Linked DNA regions of Oryctolagus cuniculus. The protein of the gene in region 2 interacts with the protein of the main gene of each other region in a pairwise test. Links are inferred from orthologs where the notes say so. Each region holds a gene or a part of one and is shown on either strand. Other genes may lie near its edges.

Region 1 (7,704 bases), on a different chromosome or scaffold from region 2:
GCATCTGTAAAGTGTAAAGCTTTTTCTTGGAATTCATGCACTTAAAATAAGATATGTAGGAATTCTCCAAAAGTGCATAATTAAATACCACTAACATGGATCCTTCAGCACCTGCTTTATTAATGCAAAACCCCTAGGTGCCACTCTAGATAAAAGACAACCAAAGTGGGAATACAAACTTTAACTGGCATTACAACTAATTATGTACACAAGTTAACTGGTATGAACTTTATAAACAGAAGAAACTCTGGATATGAATAATCTCTACTTTGCCATTCAGTGACTACCCAACCTCTAAGCCTACTCAGCTGTAAAACAGTAGTACCTATACCTAACTGGAACACAGTAAGAATTACTTCAAAGTGCTGGATCTGCCTCACAGTAAGCATTCACTGGTTGTTACTGATTTTCATAAAACCAAGACATAGAAATTATGAAATGAACCTTAAAGGACAGAAAACATTTCTAAGTCTTAAAAGGAAACAACGTCTGTTAAAAATTCTCTTCCAAAGTCAAAGGCTTTGAAAAGTTAAATACCATTAATATAAGGTATACTATTAAATACTATTAATATAAAGTATCCTCATAAAGAACTTCCTTTATCAGTTCGGAAAAATGTCATATTTGAAGATCTCCACCATTTTCTTAAAATTTCCCCCCTAAAAAACAAGGCACCAACCTAAGAAGTGTTTCCCATAGAGGGACTTAGGAACAAGAGAAAAAGTGGAAGGGATCTAACATCAAATATTAGTTCACCATGAAAAATTTAAGAACTCTGAAAAATCGATCTAATTCATGGTGGGAAGATCTTAGCATTTTTTTTTTTTTACCATTTCGTACTGTTTTTTACCACCCCTTCATACAAAAAGGTCATCTGTTTTAATACCTTAATAAAGCTGTCAGAAATTACCTGAACAGTTTATTAACTATTCAGGATAATCCATCTCAACCTTTCTTTGCTGTAACAATGTCATGTCTAATCACCGCTCTGCTTGAAGAATTCCAAGTGTTAACACCAATTAAAAATACCAGCAGTTGAAATAGGAAGATAAACTAGTCAATTCTGTATGACTTTAAATACAAGGGCACTGCAAAAAGTTCATGGAAAATGGAAATATTTTGATTAAAAAACCTGAAATCCAGGCATATAGTCCCCCCCCTTGTTATAAAATTCCCATGACTTTTTGAAGGCCCTTGATATTGCCTCTATTTAAACCAATATCTACAATACAAAAAGCTACCAGACTGCTTCACCAATGTTGTAGACCTGAGGGGAGAGAGGGAATTAGCATGTAGGATGACCGCTAATGGGTATAGCAATCTTTGAGTGATAAATTCTAGTGATGGTTACAAAACCGTCCATGCACTAAACCCCAAAGAACTTAACATTTTAAATGGGTGAAGTTTGATTTGCTCATTATCTCAAAGCTACTTTTTTAAAAGAACATCTAATAGAGATTAACTGAAATACAGAACTCCCCTAACATGGAAAACTATTTTATTTGTTGAAGTGTCATACAGGATCTGATGTATCAAAAAAAATAATTTTCTAAAAACTAGGAATGGCCTGGGGGGGAGGAAGCACCATGAGTGCCAAAGGAACTTTTTCCATTTTTAATATAATGCCAAAAAATAAAAGAGAATGAACTTTTTGACAAAAAAATTGGCAAACATGTTTAACGCAAATTTTACTTGGTTCCTCTTTTTCTGAAGTTCTTGCTCCTCAATTTTAAATTAGAAAATCAGACACCACTAATATCTAAAGGAGCCTAGTCTTCAAAAATTATAAATACGTTTACTAGGACCAAGGTTTTACCTACTGCAGTCCACTCCTGTTTACCAGGTAAGACATCAAAAGGTAACATTATTGCTTAAAAATGCAATTAGATTTCCAGACTATGATAGAAAGATGGCCAGTAAAAAACAGGTGTGTATGGTAGTTTAACACAATCAGAAAAGCTGTGGGTCATCTCCTACTAAAAAAATCTGAGCTGGTTTCACAAACTCCACGAAAATCTGCGTCTCAAGCTAAGATTTAGTTAAACTTATCCTCGATTAAAGCATCACAAAACATTTTCAACAGCACGCAGTTTTTTTCTGGTTCTAAAACTGGAAAAGTAGGTAACACTTCCCGTAAAGACTTACAGGTATTTTTTAAACCGCTTATTCTTAAGCCTGGCCCCTCGTCTCTATCTTCAAGGAAAATTACCAAGCCAGCTCTCCGATGTTCTGAGCCCTCCCCCATCGCACTGCCATGTGACTGAGCTTACATTATGCCGTAGTGTTCAGAACGCTTATTTCCTGTTCAAAGTATTAATATACTTCTGTATCAAGTATTTTACTTCTACGGCCTTCATGGTAAGGGAAAATATTATCTGCACAAAATACTCTTCGAGATTTAATAGCGACTCAACTCCTACATACATAAACACATTTTGGCCATCGCTGGCTGTGTTTTAACAACTGTTTTCCAAAAGCAAAACTCCTACTTAAAAACAAATTCCAACCCATCTGTGCCAAACTACACAAAGCCATTGCTAAGCCACCCACCCACCCCGGCCCAAAAGTCCAAAAAGTGCTCACAGTTCACTGGGCCTCGACGGCCTCTTTGAAACATGCCCATTTCACAGTCCTATTCGGTAAGTCCCCCAGCTTGCTGCTGGCAAAATCACCCAAAGTCGTTACAAACGTTCAAGCGTGAGAAAACAACCTCTTTGGAAAATGAGTACGTACTCTTTTCGAAGTTCCAAATCTGGAATCTAAGGGCCGGCTAAGCGTCCTTTATTCCTCCCCGGAGGCTTTCCGTTTATCTAGCTGCCCTAGAGACCGGAGAGCTCGGGAGAGCGCGCCCCTACCCCCTCCCCGGCCGGCAGCCAAGCTGGGCTTAAAAACCTTCGCCACCGGGCGGCGGAAGTACAAAGGAGGCCGTCTGCCTCCTTTGTCCTGGATTTGGGAGCTGAGCGCCTCCGTCGCCATTGGCTTTCCTGCCCCAGCTCCGGCCTCTCTCATCTTGGGAATCTGCGTCAGAAGTCACCGGCAGTCCCGCCAGGTAGCCCTGCCGAGGCTGCGGAGGAAGGGAGGCTGCGGTGGGAGGCCAGGCCCATCCGGCGCCATTTCCATCGGGAGCGCGCCCGGCGGCAGCCCTGACCCTCCCCCCAGCCCCGCTGCCGGGCCTGGCCCTGCTCGCTTCGCGCCCACCCTCATCCCCTGCCAGGGAGCTGGACCACCCCCCGCCCCCGGCCCCGGCCAGCTCAATCCGTCTTTCCAAAGCTGGGAACAAGAAGTAGAAGGAACGGGGAAGGGCGGGAAGCCAAGGTGGCCGCGCCACCGTACCCAAAATGGCGGAGGCCAAACCAGCAAGGCAGAGAGAAGGGCTGGACGCCCTCCACTTCGGGCCTCCGCGTCGTCCACCGAGCTCCACCCGAGCAAGTCCTCGCCCGGCAGGCCGCCCTCCTAGAAGTGGGAGATCGCCCGGGAGGCGCAGCCCCGCCCGCCTCCGAGCGGCGACCTCCACACTTCCCCCCCGCCCCACCCCCTCCTGGGTCTCGTCCTTCTCCCGACTCCGCTCTCGAAACCACCAGCCCAACCTACCCCCTTTTACTTCAGATACCCTGTCGGGCGATAGAAGCGCCGACGCCGGTGCTCGTGAGGGTCCGGTCGTGAGGAGGGGGCAGTCGTTCGCCTCGTGCGGCGCTCCCTACAACGGTCCTCCCAACCGTCTCCAGCAGTGGCAACCGCTAAGGGAGCTGCGCAGCAGAGCGACTGGCTTGGGGGGATGGGAGAGAGGGAGCGAGAAGGAGGGGGCGGAGCGAGCGCGACGAAAGCCGGCCTCAGGGTCTCGCGAGACCGGTCCCGCCTTGACGCGGCCCGGGCGAAGTGCGCTTGCGCGTCAGCGGGCCGCTCCGCGGAAAAGTGAAGAGCCGCCCTACTCGGACGGCTTAGTGAGGGAGCCGGGTTGACTCCGCCTTTCTTGCTCACCTTACCACCGTCTAAAGCTCAGAGTACACCTTTCTGTACCCTCGGGGAGGAGGAGAGAGGGGCGGAGGCGCTCCCGTTACTGTGTTTTGAAGGAAGTTCCCCAGTGCTAGGCTCCACAGCCAGCAAATTCCATAGAGGCCCCACCTTCTTCCCCGCGTCAAGTGCGTGGAAATGGCGCCACGTGACTCGGCCGCCAAAGGCCGAGAGGGCTCTTTCCTTCCACCATGTTTGCGTTATGTAGTAAAAAACGGGACTCTGCCGAGAGACAAAAATGTCCACAGGCCCGATTTCGGCTTCAGGACGGGGTCCTCCTGCCCCCCAACGGAGCCGCCTCCGCGTGCGCGGCGTAGGCCGGCGAGTCTATCCTGCTCTCGGCGTTTCCCTCCTCGCCCCAGATCGCTCCTCGCTGTCTCCTCCGCCTTCGCGGAACCTTTCAGTCGCTCATGGAGCCCTACTGCGTGTTTTCTAAATACGGCTTTGCATTCTTGAAAATTGCATTTGCAAGTGTCCCCTGATAAGTACTTTTTGTTTGTGCTGTCAGGCCACCCAGGTTCCTAATGACACGTCCTGGTTCTTTTTTCCTAACTGTAAAAAAAACATGCAAGCTGAATTTCCGTGGGAGGAGTGGAGGGTAATCCTGGTAAAAAGACCATGTGCGTTGAAGTGGAGATAGGAACCTGCTTGGAGAGCGAGCGAGAGAAGTCGGTTTGGATCACAGTAGAGAGTTGCTGAAGGTTGGAAATGTGGACGAAGCTAGGTTATAACCTACCTAAAAATTCCCAGCCAAAAGATTTGGGGCGTGGTGCAAGAGGCATTTGCCCTCCCGTTGGGAGTGGGGTGAAGGGCGTTAGCAGTGGAGGAGGGTAGTATTCTGTGCCCTGTGAGATCCGCAGCGTGTGCGGTGGAGACGCGAGGCCACTTAGCTTCGAGGAAAAGAAGCTTGCACTTCATGGCTTTAATTCATCCTCACCCCTGCCGAAGACCAATGTGGGACTACAAAAATTACCCAGTTTATAGTGCCTGACTGCCATTCTTGAGTTTCACTCCCTCAGAATCCCGCTCTGAGGAAGCCGGAGCCGCAGAGTGTGATCCCTATCACAAGAGATGAAAAAACAAAATGAGGATGCTGTAGTAATAGCTGTCACAAGTATTGAGAGCTTGCTTGAGCTAAGCAATGTACTCGATTCACCAACTCTTTACATTTTTCCTAAAATATATTTTCATTTCTATTGGAAAGGCAGGGAGATCTTTCACTCACTGGATCACTCCAAATGCCAGCAAGAGCCAGGCACTACAATGGCTCCCTACAACCCTGAACACTAACCACTATTATCATCTTCATTTTACACTTGAAGTGCCTGAGCCCTGGAGATGTGGAAATAGTTGCCTGAGATCACACAGCTGAGTGGCACAAGTAGGATTCAAATCCAGATGGTATTACACCAAGGGTTAGGGTCTTAAGGCACTGAACCTTCCTGGGGTTGCAAGTAACTTATCCATGAGTGAAGTGAACAGGCAGCATTTTTAGGCAAATCACAGTTCTTCCCATGACAACACTAGAGTTGCCATCACTGGGGACCTGTGGTTCTTGGCTTATTGGCTAGAGACTTTTGAACAGTCCAAAAACTTGATTGTCCTGCTGTCACTTCACCTCTTTTTTTTTTTTTTAATTGCTGTTAGTAAGGAAGCTTTCATGCTTCAGGTGAGGTTTTCCCTTGACCCCCTCCCCCGTGGTTTGAGTTACATCACTACTTCATCCTTTCAGTCTTTCAACCTGATTTGACAGAATTCTGAAATCTCTTGCCTGAATTCAGTTTATTTACTAGCCTGATTAGATTTGGCATTCTTTCCACATAGCAGGACACTTCAAAAAACTCATAGAAAATGGAATTAAAAGTTTATTGTGGTGCAAAAAATTCTGAAATCCTTTTATACACAAGTATTTACTTTGTGTGGTTATAAGCTACAACCCCAAAATCATTCTAATGATATGAATGACTTTTCACCACCAACGGTGGACGTTTTCTTTGTTTTTGAAGTAATTTCGTTGTTTTGGGCACTCTTTTGCCAATATGAATGCTTAAGAAAGAATTGAAATTAGTGCCTGCATTCCTTTTGCCTTTTTATTATTACAGCAAGTAGGAAGTTTTCATTTTAAAAAAATACACTATAGTGGTAAATGTAATTTTTATCTGACCTATTTTATTTTCTCTAAAACAGTCTATCAACTACTATATTCTGATTTGCAAGTTGAATCCTGTAAGTAAGCGTTGGTGAGATTGGTTCCCCGATGCTCCAGTGATCTCTAGGGAATTGTTTCCAGATCGATCTCTGTGGCACTGTTACCATAGAGATGCTTAGAACTGAGGACTCCCAGCTGCTTTTGGATGATTTTTTTTCTCTTTGTCTTCCTTTCAGTCATTTGGTGCTATTCTATTAGCATAAAGATCAGAGGGACCCTGGAGAGGATCTTGTTAGAGGCCATAATGAAAGGAAAAAGATGAAAAGGAGAAGGAAATAAGAGTCCCCACACCACCCAGAGGAAAACCAGACAGTGAGCACGTGACCATGTGTTACACCATCAGGATGAAGAGGGAAGGAAAATCCCACGCAGAGCCTTAGAGAAAGAGGAAGAAAGAGACGGAAACAGACTACACTCTTCTGGGGGAGGAAAGGACGTTGAAAATTAGTTGTTAGTTGTCCATATACCCCCCAAAGGTATTGCAAAGTGCCATAAAAACTGGATTATCACAATCATTTTGCCTACATGAAAGGCAAATAAACTAAAACGTAACAAAACTGTTTCTAGGAGTGTGTCTAATTAAGGTAGCTAAGCCTTTTGAACGCTGATCTGTTATTAAAGCTTTGTGAAATGCTTGTGCTTTGATTTCTGACATATGTATCTACTTTCCTTACAAAACACTGATCTCCTTTGTCATGATTCAGTGTTGTTTCTCTAGCCTTCGTTACACAGTTTATATTCTTGATTTTGTTTTCTTGGTATTTTTTGGTTTCTCAAGGATACCTAAGTGTTCATTGTGGGAGTATGGGAACCAAAATACTTCATTCAATTTTCATAATTAAAATACAGAAATGGAAACTCAAAAGGAAGAAAACACCTAGCATTCTTTCTCTGATTTTTGAAAATTAGAAGTATTGAACATTCTTCTTTTTTTTTTTTTTTTTTTGACAGCAGAGTGGACAGTGAGAGAGAGAGACAGAGAGAAAGGTCTTCCTTTTGCCGTTGGTTCACCCTCCAATGGCCGCTGCAGCCAAGTACTTGGGCCATCCTCCACTGCACTCCCGGGCCATAGCAGAGAGCTGGCCTGGAAGGGGGCAACCGGGACAGAATCCGGTGCCCCGACCGGGACTAGAACCCGGTGTGCCGGCGCTGCTAGGTGGAGGATTAGCCTATTGAGCTGTGGCGCCAGCCTGAACATTCTTTCTGTTTCAGAGAATTGCTGTGAAGGCCAGGGAAAACAGCTACAAAATGTAACTACGTAAGTAATCTAAATGAGATTACTGTACTGCTTTTGGTATATCATAAACACATTAATAACAAAAAATACAATATAGATAATAGAATAACAGACCATTTACTCCAAAATGATTTTAAGTTCTTGGTGGTAGGTAAAAATATAGGTTTCATTATATATATACATATGTCTTTCAGTGTGCAAACAATAAGGATGGTTACTTAATGCTGGATATGGGGGCACTTTAAAT
Region 2 (7,490 bases):
GGACAAGATCGTCAACCTACCGGTAGACGACTTTAACGAGCTGCTGGCGCGCTACCCGCTGACGGACAGCCAGCTGGCCTTGGTCCGGGACATCCGCCGGCGGGGCAAGAACAAGGTGGCCGCCCAGAACTGTCGCAAGAGAAAGCTGGAGACCATCGTGCAGCTGGAGAGGGAGCTGGAGCAGCTGGGCAGCGAGAGAGAGCGGCTTCTCAGGGCCCGAGGGGAGGCTGACCGGACCCTGGAAGTCATGCGCCAACAGCTCACCGAGCTGTACCGGGACATCTTCCAGCACCTACGGGATGAGTCAGGCAACAGCTACTCCCCAGAAGAGTACGTGCTGCAGCAGGCTGCCGATGGTGCCATCTTCCTGGTGCCCCGAGCGACCAAGGCGGAGGCCACAGACTGAACTGGCTCAGGGTGGAGAGTGGGCTTGGTGATGGGGAGTTCCCTCCCTTCTGATAAAGGGACTCCCCGACCCCAGACCCAGATAAAGCAGACTTATTTAGACCAATGTGGGAACCCTGCTGTTCACTGAGGCTTGCCTTGGGGCAGCTCGTGTGGGGGTTGGGCCAGAACCTTTTTTCCCTGACCTCTCACCTCCAGCCCTGTCCCAGCTTTGGTCTATAAAGCGTTCTGCACAAACAGCCTTCTACTGCGTCTACCTTTGCGATGATGGTGAAGCTGGGCGCTCAGAGCACTACTTGTTGGGGTCCAGGGCTGGGCGGATGCTGCCAGGTTCATTCTCTTTTCCCTCCAGAGCTCGCCTGAGAAGTCAAGAAAACGTGGGCTTCAAGAGGGTGGAGATCCAGCCGTCTAAACTCCTTTAGTCAGGGGCGTGGATCGTCTGAGGAGCTCCCCGCCCCATTTCCTGGGAGCCCCACAAACTGGTGATGCCCTGAGATCTCTTTGGAACACACACACACACACACACACAGCCTTTCATTCTGTCCTGCCCCCACTTCACCTCTCAGCCTGGGTGCTGAAGTGCCAGGGCTCTCAGGAGGCTGGGCGAGCGGTTCTCCACTCGGGAATCTGACCAGACACCACAGCTTTAGAGGTTTCACACCACGGGGCTCCACAGTGGAATCAAACACGTACGTCCTGTAGAACTTCCTCTTCCTGGTTCTATCACAGCCCAGCACCAGTCGCTGCCTTGGGGCCCTCCACTTCTACATCCTCAGATGTGCGTTGTTAGGTGCTCTCCCTGCACCCTTGAAACAGATACAGGGACCTGGAGTTTGGCTCCTTAGGCGCATCACCTAAAATCCAACCAGCCCTCCCTCTACACATCTCCTTGAACTCAAGGGGATCCCGATTTCCCACTTCGGCACATCCACGGCTCCACACCTGAAACACCTTACTGTTACCCTTCAACCCGGTTTTCCTATCATCCCACAGGGAATCCTCATCCCAGGTCTGATGCAAGTATAGATGGGCAGCTCCAAGAGCCCACAGCAGGGACAGGGCACAGGCGGTGGGTGCTCAAGCCCACTGAGAAACATGCCGTGTAGCCAAGCTTTATGGAATGAAAGCAACCCGAGTTTCCTGTTAGTACAGGGCCCACTTGTCAACTTTGTCTCAGAGAACTGAAAACGTTCACATGTTAAGTTGTAAAATGCAGAGCTAACTGCTCAAGTTTTAAAATTCATCTTTGGGTAGAATGAAAAAAATCCAATGTCCCGAACACAACCCACAGGCAAATTCAACTATTTACCTGACCTCATCACTTCAAGCCCTAGGACCTGAAGGTGCAGCCTCCTCTCAGATTGTTACCAGGCAAGACCATTCTGGAGCTGCCACGTCGACCTATAGCCAAGCTGGGAACATCAACTTGGACCAGAGGTCTTACCTTGAATTCCCTCATTTGTATAAAACAAAGCACAGCACATGAAACCTAAAGCCATTTAATATAAATAAATGCAAAACCTCTCCTGGCCAACTTGTCAAACAAGTAGAGCTCTTCAAAAGGCTATCCTGTGGTGTTCCAGCCCAGATGTTGGGATGCAGAGTTCCCCTAACCCACACCTCACTCTTCCTCTGCTGAACAGGCTGGGCCAATCTTTCTGGAATGCAGAAAGATAGAAAGCATTTGCTGGAGCACAATTACTGCTTCTGAATGCTTGTCTCATCAGCTTGTCAGCGCGATCTACCACGTGAACTTCACAAATCCTAGCTCCCAAGACTCAACACAGCTCACTGGCGGCTGGCTTCCCAAGCCAGGAGTGGAGACATGGCTGTTGGAGCAGCCTGACACTGGCTTGCTGTCCGAGTGCCCACTGGCTCTAAACCATGATCCTGAATGCGGCAGTGTCAATGCAGCACACCGTCTCAGTCAGGAACCAACCCCCATTTAAAAGCTGCCATGTTGGGCAGCTTGTTCTGCCCCCAGAAGGGAAAGGCAGTCAGTTGATCTGAGACATGGAGTCAAGGCAACTGCCTGTGGCTGGTGCCACCACACAGCAAGTTAAAGCCCCAGTCTGTGGTGCTGGCATCCCACATCGTTGTGGTCCAAGTCCCAGTGGCTCCACTTCTAATCCAGTTCTCTGCTATGGTCTGGGAAAGCAGTGGAAGATGGCCAAGTCCTTGGGCCCCTGCACCTGCATGGGGGATCCAAGAGGCTCCAGGCTTTGGATTTTTACAGCTCTGGCTGTTGTAATCTGGAGAGCAAACCAGAATATGGAAGATCTTTCTCTGCCTCAATGTCTTACCAAGACCAGTTTATCACTGATATCCTACATTTTTGAATCCCTAATTTAAAATGGGAAAATAACATGAAGCAGACCAAGTATTTATAAAATGATTTATTATTCATAAAGCTCATTCACAAAATGGAATGAATAATTAGAGCTGCAAAACAGCTAGTATCAACTGCATAGCAGTGAGAAATGGAGTGGCTCAAAGGTTGTCCTCACAAGGATGTTCCTGCAAAGGAAAGAGAGGGGTGAAGTCGTTAACGCATTAGGACAGGGCTCTGTCATCAGCTAACTGCCACCACTGGGAATCTGGCTGCTTTGGTTATGGACAATTGGACCTTGTGCTTGGGTGTTGGTAATTCTCCCTTTGACTTTGGAAATATGGAGAACTCTTGGCTGGCCATTATTTTATAGAAACTTACCTTTCTAGCCATGGACAGGAGTTTCTGGGTTTAATTATAATTATTTTTTTAATAAGAGCTGATAAGCGTGTAGCAGATTCTTCCCTAGAAAAGTAAACAGCCTTTAGAACTGGCTCTTTTCGAAGACAGAGTCCCATCAAGCTAAACCACCCCCACCCACTAATGGTCCACCCACCCAGCCCTCCCCCCATTTTGGGAAGATTCCAATATATTAATTTGAGCCATTATTTCAAGGAAATGGGTAAAAGGACAGCAAATAAAATTAAAGGGCAAAAATAGATTATCACAGAATTAATTACTTTCTTCAATTAGGAGCCACCAATAGGGTGTCAATTTCTCCAGAAAAACCAAGTTCAGCTTAACTGGACTAGTTTTGGCTCAATATATTAAGGAAAATTTAACAGAATACTGGATTTTAGGTTAACTTTATGGATGTAAGTAAAATCTGTTCTTACCTACCAGCATAGCAATAAAACCTTTCCTCCTGGTTCTGACTGCTAGTCCTAAGAGTCAGGTGTGCCTTACTCTCGTCTGCCTCCTTTCTGGCGATGGTCACTCAAACTTCACTTCCTCCTAGCTTTCATGGAGGGTGCCGTGGCCTGCCCCTGGCTTATCTGTGCTCCACATACCACAAGTGTCTACTCTCAGCTGTAGAGTCTGAGCTCGGAGCCATTCGCGCTATGCTTGCTAGCAGTTCCTAGTAGCTGAACATCTCTCCTGGATCTTTAAAGGCATTGTCACGAATCCTGATGTATCTGCAAACTCCCTCAACAGTTAAAGGTTCCACCTGCTATTGCAAACTCAGCCAGTATCATGAACTACCGTCCACGCTCACCCACCCCCCACCACCTTCCACCCACCTCCCTCCCACCCTCCTCCCCAATGTTCCAACACACCCCTGGGATGGCATATACAGTCCTACTAGTAAACAATGATCTATACTACTAGATACAATGGCACTGAAATTAAAGAGGGTAGGCTTCAAAGAACCTATTTACAAATAACAATTATTGGGTATCCATGAACTATGAAAGGTTTAGAAATCATTATCTATATATACAATTAACACTTTCAGATGATTGTGTGGTCTTGTGTCATGTTTAAAGGAAAACTGCAGTTAATATGAAATTATACAGAAACATTTGTTCCTCCCACTTCATGGTTTTAATCCCCCCAACCAGTGTAATCAACATACATTTCCACAGACCGACCCACCCACACACCGACCCATGACCCAGCAGAACTGCAGTTTTCCTTTAATAAAAACCTGTTTATATTGAATTCAAGTCTTACTGGTACCGGTATTTTTTAAGAAATGTCTCTTAAAACACTTCTAAATCTTTGTGGACTTAATGGAGTGGAAGCATTAGCCAGCAGCTGGCTTCTATTCTCTGGCAGAGTTTTGAACTTGCATTGTGGTAGGATTCAACATTATCAGGGGTGGAGGGTAGGGAAAAGTCCAAATCTCTGCCAGTCCCAAATCCATACAGTTGTCATTCCATTCAAGAGAATTAAATCGTTTATTGATTACACATGATAATGGATGATACACAGCTTCATTCCCATCTGTAATTTTATCTGGTACCATTATTCAATTTAGATATATTGCAAAGGATGTGCCAACAATCATTCTTATAACCAAATAACCCCATGACTTTGCTTGGGTGGCTTTTAATGGTGAACTTCAGAAGGTCACAACAGTAACTCATGTATCTGAGAACAGCTTCTCCACCCGAGCATTTTGTAAATAAATCTCAAATGGAACCTGGCATCACCCTGATGAATTCTGACTTTACACTTTTTGGGGAAGTTTACCAAGATGGCTTCAGAGTAGACTAACTTTACACAGCACATTTAAAAAAAAGACACATTTATTCAGCGTCATGATCAGACTATTACATTTAGCAATCAACAGCATGGGTGCAAAAGAAAAAAAAAGAAAAAACTACATTAAAACCCTTTGTTGGAATGCTTTACACTTTCCACAGAACAGAAACTAAAATAACCTGTTATACAATTAGTCACAAATACAGTCCTCGAGTTTTTTTGCCCATACACATGAGTATTGTCTAAAACATGTCTTCTTTGTAGCAGCTAGGCCCTGCCACCACTGTGCTTGGCTGAGTTCACAAATCTGTTGTAACCTGTAGCTTCCCTGTCACTTCTCTGGCTCTCCTCTCCTGCTAAGCTTTGTTTCCTGTTGAACAATATGGAATAAAGTTGTTAATCTAAACATATTAAGACTCAAGGCTACAATCCAATATTAAGTTGTTTCCCACAAATTTTGCTCATCTGAATTATCAATATTATCTGAACTTAATACCCACAATTTTACTGCAATATTATAATGTTAACTATGCCACACTGCTTAGCTACATTAGGGTTTAGCAGCGATTATAAAAACTTAAAAAAAAAAGCACACACAAAAAAAGGTGTTTACTTACCTGGCAGTTATTAAAACCTTCTGCCACTGCCATAGCTGCTGCTGCTGCTAGAACCACCATAGCCACCTAGAACAAGATTGGGCCTTTTAACCTCTCAAGTGCCCACGGCAAAAGCCCTGCTTTCATGTTCAATGGGATGAGACAAGTTCAAACTTAGGAGTGACTATTTAACAGCCTTAGCGAAACCTGACAAGGGCAGCACCATCAGCTATGCACCCAACAAACCAACTCCTTTCCCTTTTACTTGCTCATCTCCCAGTTACATTCATACCATACCTTGATTTCGTGGTTTGGCAAAATATTGGCCGCCACCACCATAGGGGCCAGAGCTTCTGCCTCCAAAATTTCCTCCCTTCATGGGTCCAAAATTTGAAGATTGATTGTTGTAATTGCCAAAATCATTGTAGCCTCCGCTGCCTCCAAAATTGCTTCCTAGGGAACAGAAAGATGGCCTTTGTGTGTTACTTGAGAAGGTGACTGAGAGTACCCAATTCTGCTCAGTGTTCAGAATTAAAGCTTTTATTATCTGCCTGCTTCCTCCCAAACTCAGGTGGCTGCACATCTGCATTTTCATTCTCTGGACAAGGCATTCAGTTGAATAATCCAGAAGTTTTACAAAGCAACCCAGTTCACCGCATTAGAAGTTGAATTTTTCCTAGTGGCAACTAGAGGTGTACTCTCTAGCCTCACAGGCCTTTGTGCATGCATCCAGGCCACTGCCAACGGTCAACGGTCTTGGATGTATCAACTAAGTGCCTGCGGTCCCAAGGAGTTCCACACACTAAACCCTGCCAAGATGCTAACTCACTCACATCACAGACACCACTACCCGCTTAGCATCTACTTATTTGGGAGTGAGGCGGCCCCAGCTTAAAGCTAGGAGGAGGTAGCACAGCAAGCTCATTTCCTTTTAATATACCATGCAGTGTACCACACAATGCTTTAAGAGCTTCCAATCGCAATATGGGCATTAAAATGCTAAAACACTAATCTAGCTATCAGACCAAGTACTTGGATCACTCGATACCTACCACTACCACCGCCAAAGCCGCCTCCGCCGTTGTTATAGCTGTCATAGCTGCCACTCCCGCCATAGCCACTGCCCTGGTTTCCATAACCCTGTCCACCACTTCCATAGCCTCTGCTTCCTCCAGAGTAACCAGGGCCGCCTCCTCCATAACCACCTATAAGAATACAATTCTTCTCAATAAGACAAAAGTATTTAACAATCAAAATCGGTTCAAGTGTAATGGCTAAAGGCCTGCGCAAAGCATGCTTATTATGGGTTCAGTTGAGCTTATCATGCACTAGCAGTTAACAGTTTCTATCATCCTAATCTAGTAACACAAGTTGCCAGAAACATTTTTACCTATGTATTCTTTAAAGACTTACCGTCATTACCAAATCCATTGTAACCATCCCCACTGCCACCATAACCACCTCCACCGCGGCTGCCGCCGAAGCCACCTGGAAGAAAGCAAACACGTGCAGCAGGTTTAGAGCATATGAATTGCGTGGTACGCTCTGGAAGCGCTCCCTGCACTGTGACAACGATTGGCACACCGGAGTAACTTCTGGTTAGTTACAGGCCAGAGCTGCATTTTAGATAAAACTTAACTTCGGAAACGTAGGCCATTTGTTATATGCTACTACAGGTTACAGAAAAAAAAGGGACAAGTCATCTAGGGTCAAGAAACCACAAGCTCTCTAGAGTTAACCTTAGCTAACCATACATACCACGACCACTGAAGTTTCCTCCACGACCAAAGTTGTCATTGCCACCAAAACCACCTCCACGACCACCACCAAAGTTTCCAGAACCACTTCGACCTTGAGAGATAAGTGTTAAACCATACAGATTGGAAAAACTCAAAGTTACCTTAACGTCCGACTAAGCAATAGACATACCTCTCGGGGTGGACGAAGCGCTG

Evidence for each region.
Region 1: the proteins of HNRNPA1 (region 2) and HNRNPH3 interact in binary tests that used the Homo sapiens proteins (3 or more experiments, as listed by UniProt). The link is inferred for Oryctolagus cuniculus from reciprocal best matches to the Homo sapiens genes HNRNPA1 and HNRNPH3.

What each region holds. Positions count from the first base shown.
Region 1 is NC_091446.1:60,232,244-60,239,947, reverse strand, and holds the start of HNRNPH3 (heterogeneous nuclear ribonucleoprotein H3), read right to left. Parts: upstream 4,133-7,704; 5' UTR 3,592-4,132; intron 3,520-3,591; exon of another isoform or gene 3,334-3,519; intron 3,050-3,333; coding exon of another isoform or gene 2,824-3,049; exon of another isoform or gene 2,734-2,823; intron 2,640-2,733; coding exon of another isoform or gene 2,616-2,639; intron 1-2,615. Other genes in the region: PBLD (phenazine biosynthesis-like domain-containing protein), read left to right, coding at 2,616-2,639, 2,824-3,049, 7,433-7,478.
Region 2 is NC_091442.1:57,218,925-57,226,414, reverse strand, and holds the end of HNRNPA1 (heterogeneous nuclear ribonucleoprotein A1), read right to left. Parts: coding exon 7,468-7,490; intron 7,390-7,467; coding exon 7,297-7,389; intron 7,027-7,296; coding exon 6,952-7,026; intron 6,744-6,951; coding exon 6,591-6,743; intron 5,992-6,590; coding exon 5,836-5,991; intron 5,626-5,835; coding exon 5,570-5,625; 3' UTR 5,560-5,569; intron 5,313-5,559; exon of another isoform or gene 4,617-5,312; intron 3,200-4,616; 3' UTR 2,787-3,199; downstream 1-2,786. Other genes in the region: NFE2 (transcription factor NF-E2 45 kDa subunit), read left to right, coding at 1-406. UniProt on the Homo sapiens protein: Involved in the packaging of pre-mRNA into hnRNP particles, transport of poly(A) mRNA from the nucleus to the cytoplasm and modulation of splice site selection.